Linked DNA regions of Cricetulus griseus. The protein of the gene in region 1 purifies or fractionates together with the protein of each later gene. This does not show direct contact. Links are inferred from orthologs where the notes say so. Each region holds a gene or a part of one and is shown on either strand. Other genes may lie near its edges.

Region 1 (2,389 bases):
GCAAGTCAGTGGCGGAAACACAGAGAGTACTAAAGCTGCACAGCTTAGTCCTAGCTTCTGTCGGCTGCTGGCTACACTGTCTTATGTATTGCAGATGCTCACCTCGCCATCTACCTAAATTCCCACTGATCACAAAGATGCTATGGATGACCACCCTGTTTGTTACATGTATAATGCGCACTTAGCTATGTGCTTTATATACAATATTCCATCAATTTCTCTCTCACATACACAAAAAACCTTTGGCTATTATGAGGAGCCACAGGATGCCTGGGAAGCTGGATTTTATGAATTTATAAGCTATTCTCCTCATCCACAGGTATTTGGAATTCAGCTGAAAGAAATCGACAAGAGTGACCACTTATATATTCTTCTCAGTACCTTAGAGCCCACTGATGCAGGCATACTGGGAACGTAAGCTGGGGAAGTGCTAGGGTGTGAAGGGGCTTCTTGCTTCCTCTTAGAAGCTCAGGAGAGAGGGTCTAAACACCTGTGTCCCAGCTCCCACACATGGCTGGATCCCTATGAGCAATAGGGTGCCAGATTATAACTGACAGAAGGGTTTCAGAGCCTGGACTGGGGCATTCCTGCTGTCAGGTTTGCTTGTTCTAACAAGCTCCCAGGAAATTGGATTGCTGTCACTTGTCTCTTCTACTGAGTGCCTGGCCTGGCTGTGGAAGGGTGGCTTTTAAAAGAGGGAGGGATTTCTGTTGTGCACCATGATGCTTGAGAGCAGGAGTGTCACTAGTGTTCCATCTAGTACTTCTCAGTGCCAGGGGACTTCGGGAGATAAAGAAAAGCCTCCCAATGACTGAGTGTCCATGTGGTGGACAGGGATTCCTCCATGTCCCGCTAACCCTGGGTAGAGATAGTATGTGGTTTCCCATTTTACTGGAGACCTTGGCTCAAGAGTGAAAGCAGCTTGCCTTAGGTCATGGATAGCTGGGACCATAGAGTAGGCCAAATTTTCTGTATCTGAGGAATCTAGGTGAGGCTGGTCTATTGAGCTGTGCTGTATAGATGGTGGCTCATGAACATAAATTTTCTCTCTGTCCTGTTATTCTCTTAGGACCAAGGACTCACCTAAGCTGGGTCTCCTCATGGTGCTTCTTAGCATCATCTTCATGAATGGAAATCGATCCAGTGAGGGTGAGTGGCTGGACATGCAGTTGAATAGGTGGCTGTTGTCTGAATTCCAGGCGCTCATTTTCTGTCTTTGTCTCCTTCTTGCCTCCTCTTGCAGCTGTCATCTGGGAGGTGCTGCGCAAGTTGGGGCTGCGCCCTGGGTATGATTGGGCTCTCTCAGCGCTTGCTGTCCATGTTGTCTTTTGGCAAGAGAGGATGGTCCCAGGATTGCATCAGCCTGGTGGTCTGATGGAGCATGTGTGGGGTGGGGGTGGGGAAAACTGGGCTGGGTAGTGGGCCCAGGGTTCTGACCTACTGGATGGGGAAATGCCTCCCATCTCTGCTCACCTTCTCACCATCTCTTCAACTTCCATGGAGCTTTCTCTATACTGTAAATCTGTTTTGTCATGGAAATGCCTCTGCCAGCACTTGGGAAGTGTAACAGATCTGATTATATTTATTTGCTTATTCAGCTTTCTGTGTTCTCAGGATACATCACTCACTCTTTGGGGATGTGAAGAAGCTCATTACTGATGAGTTTGTGAAGCAGAAGTAAGTGCCTATGTCTCATGTGCGTGTGTTTGTGGTCTAAGGTGTGCATGTGTGTATGCTGTTGGCAGGTTATTTCTGGGAGCAGTCACAGCTTCAGAACAACTCTGTGAGGGAGTTGAAGACAGTCTTAAGGAATTTAAGTCATTTGCTCAGGGTTACACAGATAGCAAATAAAAATTGTGTTTAGAACATGGCTCTTTTTACTTGGCTAAGTAGCACTTTAAAAAACTTAATTTCCATTAAGATGGCCTCAAGTGGTACCCTTAGGCAACCCAGGATAGTGCTGCTGGGTACTGACTTGTGGATTTAGTATCATTTATATAACTGTGTACCATTCATTTAGGTAAATGATATGATATGATATGATCCCTAAGAGGGGATGTTTGAGCATGGCCCACAGGTAATTTTAAAAAAGGCTCAGTTGGGTCTGGAATCCTAACCTGTTGACTTTGTAACTAGGAGTCTACCTTGTATTATTGGGTGTCAGAGAAGAATATGCATGCACTCACATAGAGAAACAGTTGTGTTTAGGAATATGATCTCTCTCTCTCTCTCTCTCTCTCTCTCTCTCTCTCTCTCTCTCTCTCTCTCCTCTTCCTCTCTTCCTCTGTCTCCCCTGCCACGTACTCCATTCTGGCCTCAAACTTATATGGTTAGGGATGACGGTTAATTCCTGATCATCCTGCTTCAGCCTCCCGAGAGCTGGAATTTA
Region 2 (3,750 bases), on another chromosome or scaffold:
GGAAATATTGTTGCAGTTCCAAGTACAGCGTCTGCTCTCTGGTGCTCACAGCATGAGGAGGGGGACTGGCAGGGGTCTGCTAAGGGATTAGCGAGGGGTTAGACGAACTGAACGCGAATCGTCGGCAGGCTCCCGGAGCCGGAAGCCGCGAGTCTCGGTCGCCGTTACTGCCGCGGCACGGTGGGTCGGTGGGTTAGTGCTTATCGGGTCCTCTAGTTTTTAAGACCACTCTAAATGGGTCACGATCCCACGTATCCCACCCAGTCTCCATTCCCCCTTCCTGAGAAGGCAGAAGCCCGTGCTAGGTGGGGGTCTTCCGGTAAGCCCCGCGCCCCCTCCCCTATCTGCGCCGCCGGCGCCGCAGCGGTAACCGCGTAGGGGTCTTTGCTCGATTTTGCCGCAGTGTACCGCCGAGACCCTTATTTCTACTGCGTCACCATCCACATAAACAAGCCGAAGCCTGATGCGTCACGCTAGGCTATTGCTGAGAGCCCCCCCACCGGAAGTGTAATGGGGAAGGGGCATATTGAAGGGGGATTTACCGAAGCTATCCTTGACAAACAGCAAACAAAAACATTTAAAAAAAAATAATAAAATTACCCCGGAGCATTTAAAAAACAAACTGCGTGTTCATATTTGACAACTCATCGCCCTTCATCCCCTCTCCGCCTTTCCGGTGGGCTCACGACCACCTGTCGCATTTTTATGATCGCTCCTCTACCCCTTCCCGGGCATCCTAAAGGCTCATTTCCCCAACTCAGAGCTGAGAACGGGTAATTGCCCGAGGCTGGGGTCCTCGGATAAGGTGTTTGCCGCAGACTGGGGTAATCTGGGGTGACAAAGTCCTCCTGCAGTCCCTCCTCCCCTCGGGAAGAATCTGATGGGGCGGGAGGGTTTCAGCGCCTGTACTCTGTCAGACCAATGCCCACGTCTTACGTCACGTGGCCCAGCAACGCAGGAGAGCGCGCTCTCTCTCTCTGGCCAGGGGAAAAGCGAGGAGCTCAGACTCAGAAGCAGTCTGGGAGAGGAGAGGAAGGAGGCGAACCTCCCTGCGAGGCCTGCGCTCATCAGCCCCCATACCCAAAGTCGGGAACTGCCGGCACCGGGAGCCAGCTCCCGGAGCCGGCTTAGCACTGAGACCGGCGTCCTCTGGCGGCAGAGAAAGAGTTTTACTAACGATTTTCGAGACGAATCGGCACGCTCTTAGATGCCAAGAAGGCGGGGCCAAAGTTAGCAAAGTAAGAAGAGAGTCCAGAAAAGTCGTGGGAGTGGCTGGCCGACCGCAACTTGAAGGCAGAAGTGTGGCTCCGGAGGCTCCGGGTCTTCCCAGCAAGAAATGAGGTACTTCAGCCACGATCTTGAGTTTTAGCCTCTCAGAATCTATCCTTACAAAGATTGGAAACTGAGGCTGGAGAACTTTCCAGCCAATACTCGAATATTTTAAAAGAAAAAATTTTTTGACCCTAGTTTGGCTGGGTGCTCCGTCTTACGGGGCCCCAAATTTATTTTAAAAAACCGCAACCGTGTTATGGGCATGCGCAGCCGCGTCCACGGCAACAATATGCCAGGACAACACGATATCCCCGGTGAAGTCGGGGAGCAGCCCGAGCAAGAACCTTTGGAGGCCCCAGGGGCAGTTGCCCCCGGTGCTGGGCTTGGCCCAGCCGAAGAAATGGAGGCCGAACCGTCTGCCAATGAGCCCATCCCCGCCGAGAACGGCGCTGAGGGCTATGGACCCCAGGGGGTCTCCGGAACCGACTTTCAGGGCGTCCACCAGGCGGTCGAGGAAGTCGGAGTGGGTGGAGACTATAGCCCCCCACCAGAGGAATCCATGCCATTTGAGACGAAACAGCCCAGCCCCGGAGGTTTCTGGCCCACCCTGGAGCAGCCTGGAAGATCTGGGGCCCAAGCAGGTCTCAAAACCTTCAATCCAGCGCTTTTGGAGCCCGGGACCCCCAGTGGTGCGAGCCCCGCCCAGGGAACCTACAGCCCCCCACCAGAAGAAGCTATGCCATTTGAGTTCAACGAGCCTGCCCAGGAAGCCCATAGCCAGTCGCCCTTGCCAGTCCCAGACCTTGCGCCAGGAGGTCCGGAGGCAGAGGTCCTCAGAGCACTTCCCGCGGAGCCCGGGAACATCAGATTTGCAATCGCTAGCTTGCGAGATGACTACAGCCCTCCACCTGAAGAGTCTGTGCCGTTTGGGCCCGATGGAGAAGAATTTGGGGGCGATAGCCCACCCCCGGGCCTCCCCCGAGTCACCCGACAAGTCGGCTTTGGCGGCGAGTTCCCGACAGCCGCGGTCCCGAGTGCGCTCAGTCTCGCTCCCGCCGAGAACGCGCCTCCCCTCTGGGTCCACAGCGCCATTGACAGACCGTTCAGCGAGGCTATCAGAGCTCCCGCTAACTTCGCCTGCGACAGTCCCCCAATGGAGATCTCCAGACCCCCGCTGGAGATTGGCAGAGCCTCCTCTAGGGTCGGCGACGACACAACTGTCAATATGGACGGCCCCCCAATCGCAAGTGTTGGCCCGCCCATCGAAGTCTCCGGAGCACAAGATAAGAGCGAGCGCGGCGCAGAGAGACCCCCAGTTGAGCGAGAAGCAGCCGACATGGAAGGAAGCCCAACCACCGCTGCTGCGGTGGAAGGAAAAGTCCCTTCTCCGGAGAGAAGAGACGGATCCTTCACCCAGCCAGAAGCCATGGATGACAAGCCAGCCTCAGCTGCCCAGACCGTCGCTACCGAACAAGATGCCGCCTCCGCGGCTGCCAGCGGCGGCTCTCCTCCAGCCCCAGCAACACCCGCGGATCTCCAAACCGATCCCGAAGAAGTCGGAGCCACCCCAGCTGTCCGCGCGGAGCCTGACGGAGGAGCAGCCCCGGTCATCGCAGCAGCAGCCACCCCTGCCGAGTCTGAAGGTGGAGGAGATCCAGCCGCCGCGGAGGAGCCAGCCTCCGAGGCAGTCCCTGCCGCCAAGGCCGAGCCTGCCTCCGGGGCAGCCCCCGTCACCCAGGTGGAGCCCGCAGCGGCGGAAGTCTCTGCTAAGGCAGAGCCTGCCGCCCGGGCAGCCCCTGTCACCCCTCCGGAGCCCGCTCCCCGGCCAATCCCCACTGCCAGAGCCCATCCGGCTGCCGGGGCAGTCCCTGGCGCCCCAGCGATGCCAGCCTCCGCTCGGGCAACTGCCGCTAGGGCAGCCTATGCAGGTCCTCTGGTCTGGGGAGCCAGGTCACTCTCGGCTACTCCTGCCGCCCGGGCATGCCTCCCGGCCCGTGCAGCTGCCGCCGCCCGGGCAGCCTCTGCTGCCCGGGCAGTCGCTGCGGGCCACCCAATCTCTGTCGCCCGGTCAATGTCTGCCTCCCGGGCATACCCTCCCGCCCCGAGCAGGGCCCATCTTAGACCCCCCAGCCCCGAGATCCAGGTTGCTGACCCGCCTACTCCGCGGCCTGCTCCGAGGCCGAGCGCCTGGCCAGACAAGTATGAACGTGGCCGAAGCTGCTGCAGGTACGAGGAGGTATCATCCGTCATCTGCGAGATTGACTCCTCCAGCGATGAGTCGGAAGAAGGGGCCAACGGCTGCTTCCAGTACCTTCTGCGACGAAACCGCCGCCCCGGCCAGACCCGGAGCCACACGGTCGGATGCAACCCAATCCGCAACTTCTTCACCAGAACCTTTGGAAGCTGCTTCGGAGCCCCCGAGAGAGCCCGTTCCCTCAGCCCCGGGAAGGCCAAGGATCCTTTTGAAGAGAGGCGCAA
Region 3 (3,750 bases), on another chromosome or scaffold:
TTCGTAAGACTTGGTATCTATATTTTGGGGTTTTTTTCCAGACAGGTTTTGTTTTTTTTGTTTTTTTGTTTGTTTTTTTTTAACTCCGTGGCTTTGGAGGCTGTCCTGGAGCTAGCTCTTGTAGACCAGGCTAGTCTCGAAATCACAGAGATCTGCCTGCCTCTGCTTCCCAAGTGCTGGGATTAACAGTGCCTGCCATCACCGCCCAGCTGCCAGACAAGATCTATGTAACCCTGGCTGTTCTGAAACCCACTGTGTAGACAGGGCAGGCTGTCTCCTTAAACTCAGAGCTGTCTCCTTCCAGGTGCCGGGAGTATAAGACATGAGTGTTTGTTGTTTATGTGTTTGCCTGTTTAACCTACATGTCTGCACCACACTCACGCCTGGTGTTCATGGAAATCAGAGTCTGATGCCCTAGAAACTCCAGATAGATCTGGGACTAGAACTCTAGTCCTCTGCAAGAGTAACAAATGATCCTAACCACGGAGCCTTACGTCCAGCCTCTGGTATCTTCAATTCTTAACATAATGTGATGATGTAAGCCATGAATTCCTGCTTCCAGGAAAATGATAGTCCATTAAAAGCTGGATGAACTATTAGGGGGTGCAGAGGTTTCCAAAATAGATGCCACTGCATAGCAGCTGGGTGCAGGTCAACTTGAGCATTCCCGATGTTTAGAAGGTTCCAGAAGTGGTTTTTTGTTTTGTTTTTCGAGACAGGTTTTCTCTGTGGCTTCTTTTGGAGGCCGTCCTGGAACTAGCTCTTGTAGATCATGCTGGCCTTGAACTCAAAGATCCAGATCCGCCTGCCTCTGCTTCCCAAGTGCTGGGATTAAAGGCGTGCACCACCACCACCGCCCAGCAAAAATTCCAGATGCATTGTCCAAGGCTACAGCTTATTAAGGGTTTGAAAGAAGGGATCTGCGGATTAAATAAAACAGCGGGTCACTCTTGAAAGAAGAATGCCAATTTTATTTAGAGGGGAGTTGATTTATATACCATCAGCAGCACCCTAGGAAGTAACTCAGATCAAAGTCCATGCTCTTAAGGCCCTGACAATATGCAGATAATTTGCATATTTGTAAACAGGCCGTGTCTGCAGGAGGGAAAATGAATAGCACCTAGCCATAAGGCAGCCAGTAGCTCCCCAAGGGTCCTGTGGATCAGAGAAGAAAAGCAGACTCCCAGGGGGTCCCCCACATCCAGAAGACTTTTAAGTGAGGTGATCTCAGAGTATGTGGATTGAGAAGAGTGGGCAGTAAAGGAGAGACAGCCCATCAGCCCAGGGAGAACAGAGCTAAGGGATTCAGGACATCCCCGTTGCACTGGAGGCCCTCAGCAGAGGGCGCAGTCTGGCTCGGTTCCTGTCGCCCGGTGACGTAAGAGACCTTCCCGGGCGGGGGCGTGGCTTCCGGCGGTGTTCGAGGTCATATATACTGTCTTGCTCGACAGGGTCGTCACTCACTCCGCACGTGTCTTCCTCACCATGCTTTCTCTGCTGCGCTGCGTGCCCCGCGCCCTGGGCGCCGCTGCCACGGGCTTCCGCGCCGCTGCCCCGGCCTCGCCTCTCCCGCAGCTGCTGCAGCCCGCGCTTCGACCGTGCCTCCGGCCCTTCGGGCTGCTCAGCGTGCGGGCCGGCTCCGCACGGCGTTCCGACCTCTTGAAGCCCCCGGCGCCCTGCTCCTGCGGCTGTGGAGCTCTGCACACCGAGGGTAAGATTCACGCATCCAGGCCGGGATGTGGGGACCCAGCTTGGAACGGATCCCGAGCTGGACCCTCGCGATCGCAGGCCCCACTCCTCGTATCTTGGAAATATGACTTGGCAAAAGCCCGGAGGGGTCGTGGTTTGACAATGTGGTTGCTGGACATGGCTTTTGGCAAGTGAAAGCGGGTAGTTGGGAATTCTTGTTTTATACGGAGAGCAATAATACTAAGTACACTAAGGAGAAATAACTGCTAGAAGAGACATCCTGGTTTTACAGAGTGGGAAACGGACGTTTTCCGGAGTGAATTGGGCTAGAGTCATAGAGCAGCCATAGAAACAGATTAGGCACAGTCCAGGTCTATAGGGTAAGGCAGTTGGCTTTCTCTTTTTTGACCATGTTGGGTTGTCTTTTAGGAGACAAAGCCTTTGTTGAATTCTTAACGGATGAAATTAAGGAAGAGAAGAAAATCCAGAAGCATAAATCCCTTCCCAAGATGTCTGGGAATTGGGAGCTGGAAGTGAACGGGACAGAGGCTAAATTATCGCGCAAAGTTGCTGGAGAAAAGTAAGTACTGGCCCTGGAGTTCTAGGAGACTTTATCACTTACTCTGTCTTGGCCATCCCCATTAGGCCTGAGCTTAGGCCCCATGCTTTGGTAAAATGGCTTTTGAGAAAGCATGCAATTGGAAATTTTCTTAGGTTCCAGGGAGGACATTCACTGACAGATTTGCTGTGGCCTGGTAATTAATGTGTAAAGGGAAGGCTGTTGGGATGGCAGACACAGGCAAGCATTGGGTTATTGGTGACAGTGCTGTGCCCTGCCTGGATTTAGGCACTAGATTTTAGGAATGTTTAAAGTGCTGATTTGTTTAGAATTCACATAAAATTATCTCCTCTGGCTTGTGTTTATAACAGTTGAAAATGCAAGATATGTAACTTTTGTTTTTCGAGACAGGGTTTCTCTGTGGCTTCTTTTGGAAGCTGTCCTGGAGCTAGCTGTTGTAGACCAGGCTGGCCTCTTACTCACAGAGATCCGCCTGCCTCTGCCTCCCAAATGCTAGGATTAAAGGCGTGCGCCACCACCCACCCCGGCACGCCCATGCCTTTAGTCCCAGCCCACCTTTCTCTGAATTTGAGGTCAGCCTGGTCTACAAGAGCTAGTTCCTGGCCAGGCGTTGGTGGGGCATGCCTTTAATCCCAGCACTCGGGAGGCAGAGGCAGGAGGATCTCTATGAGTTCGAGGCCAGCCTGGTCTCCAGAACAAGTGCCAGGATAGGCTCCAAAGCTACACAGAGAAACTCTGTCTCGAAAACACAAAAAAACTAGTTCCTGAACAGCCTTCAAAGCCACAGAGAAACCCCGCCTCAGAACCCCCCCCCAAAAAAAAGTAACAGGATGAAATTACAGTGTAGAAAGGCCATCAGAGGTAGAGTTCTTTGTCAAGCTTAGCTTACCCCTCCCCTAAACGGGTCTCTATGGTACTTTGTAGCACAGACTGGTTCTTCATCCTTCTGCTTCAGATCCTATGTGCTAAAGTTTCAGGCCTATGCTACTACACCTGCTGCCCCTAAAACCTTTAACTTTGTTATGCTGATTTGTTACTCTTTCACCAGTCTTAGAGTCCTGCCTCTAAGGGCTTCTCTAGCATGTGTGAGGCCCAGGGTCAGCCCCCAGTGAGTGCCCCTTAAACACACATGTGTAAGAAAGCAGCTTTATCCAGTGGGGGCCTGTAACCCTAGTTCAAAGCTAGGCTGGGCTGTGGTGGTACACACCTTAAATCCCAGGGAGGCACATCTCTTGAGTTCAAGCTCAACCTGCTCTATAGAGCAAGTTCCAGGACAGCCAAGGCTTGAAAAACCTTAGAAAAGTTCAAAGCCAGAAGAAAAGGGTCATTGACTCTGGGGTGTGGCCACATTTGGTGATTGTCTTCTAACAGGGTGGAAAAGTTCTCTCAAAATTTGCAGGGCAGTGGTGGTGCACACCTTTAATCCCAGCATTTGGGAGGCAGCCTGGACTACAGAGTGAGCTCCTCTCCTAACCACCCTC

What was found.
Region 2: the proteins of Maged2 (region 1) and guanine nucleotide-binding protein G(s) subunit alpha isoforms XLas-like purify together in Homo sapiens (affinity purification with mass spectrometry; 3 studies listed by BioGRID, counting the BioPlex papers as one, with this or other methods). This does not show direct contact. The link is inferred for Cricetulus griseus from reciprocal best matches to the Homo sapiens genes MAGED2 and GNAS.
Region 3: the proteins of Maged2 (region 1) and C1qbp purify together in Homo sapiens (affinity purification with mass spectrometry; 3 studies listed by BioGRID and IntAct, counting the BioPlex papers as one, with this or other methods). This does not show direct contact. The link is inferred for Cricetulus griseus from reciprocal best matches to the Homo sapiens genes MAGED2 and C1QBP.

Annotation. Positions count from the first base shown.
Region 1 is NC_048604.1:108,707,806-108,710,194, forward strand, and holds part of Maged2 (melanoma-associated antigen D2), read left to right. Parts: intron 1-319; coding exon 320-414; intron 415-1,069; coding exon 1,070-1,149; intron 1,150-1,243; coding exon 1,244-1,286; intron 1,287-1,614; coding exon 1,615-1,677; intron 1,678-2,389. UniProt on the Homo sapiens protein: Regulates the expression, localization to the plasma membrane and function of the sodium chloride cotransporters SLC12A1 and SLC12A3, two key components of salt reabsorption in the distal renal tubule.
Region 2 is NC_048599.1:4,772,184-4,775,933, reverse strand, and holds the start of guanine nucleotide-binding protein G(s) subunit alpha isoforms XLas-like, read left to right. Parts: upstream 1-1,528; coding exon 1,529-3,750. UniProt on the Homo sapiens protein: Guanine nucleotide-binding proteins (G proteins) function as transducers in numerous signaling pathways controlled by G protein-coupled receptors (GPCRs).
Region 3 is NC_048600.1:84,787,653-84,791,402, reverse strand, and holds the start of C1qbp (complement component 1 Q subcomponent-binding protein, mitochondrial), read left to right. Parts: upstream 1-1,420; 5' UTR 1,421-1,485; coding exon 1,486-1,711; intron 1,712-2,118; coding exon 2,119-2,269; intron 2,270-3,750.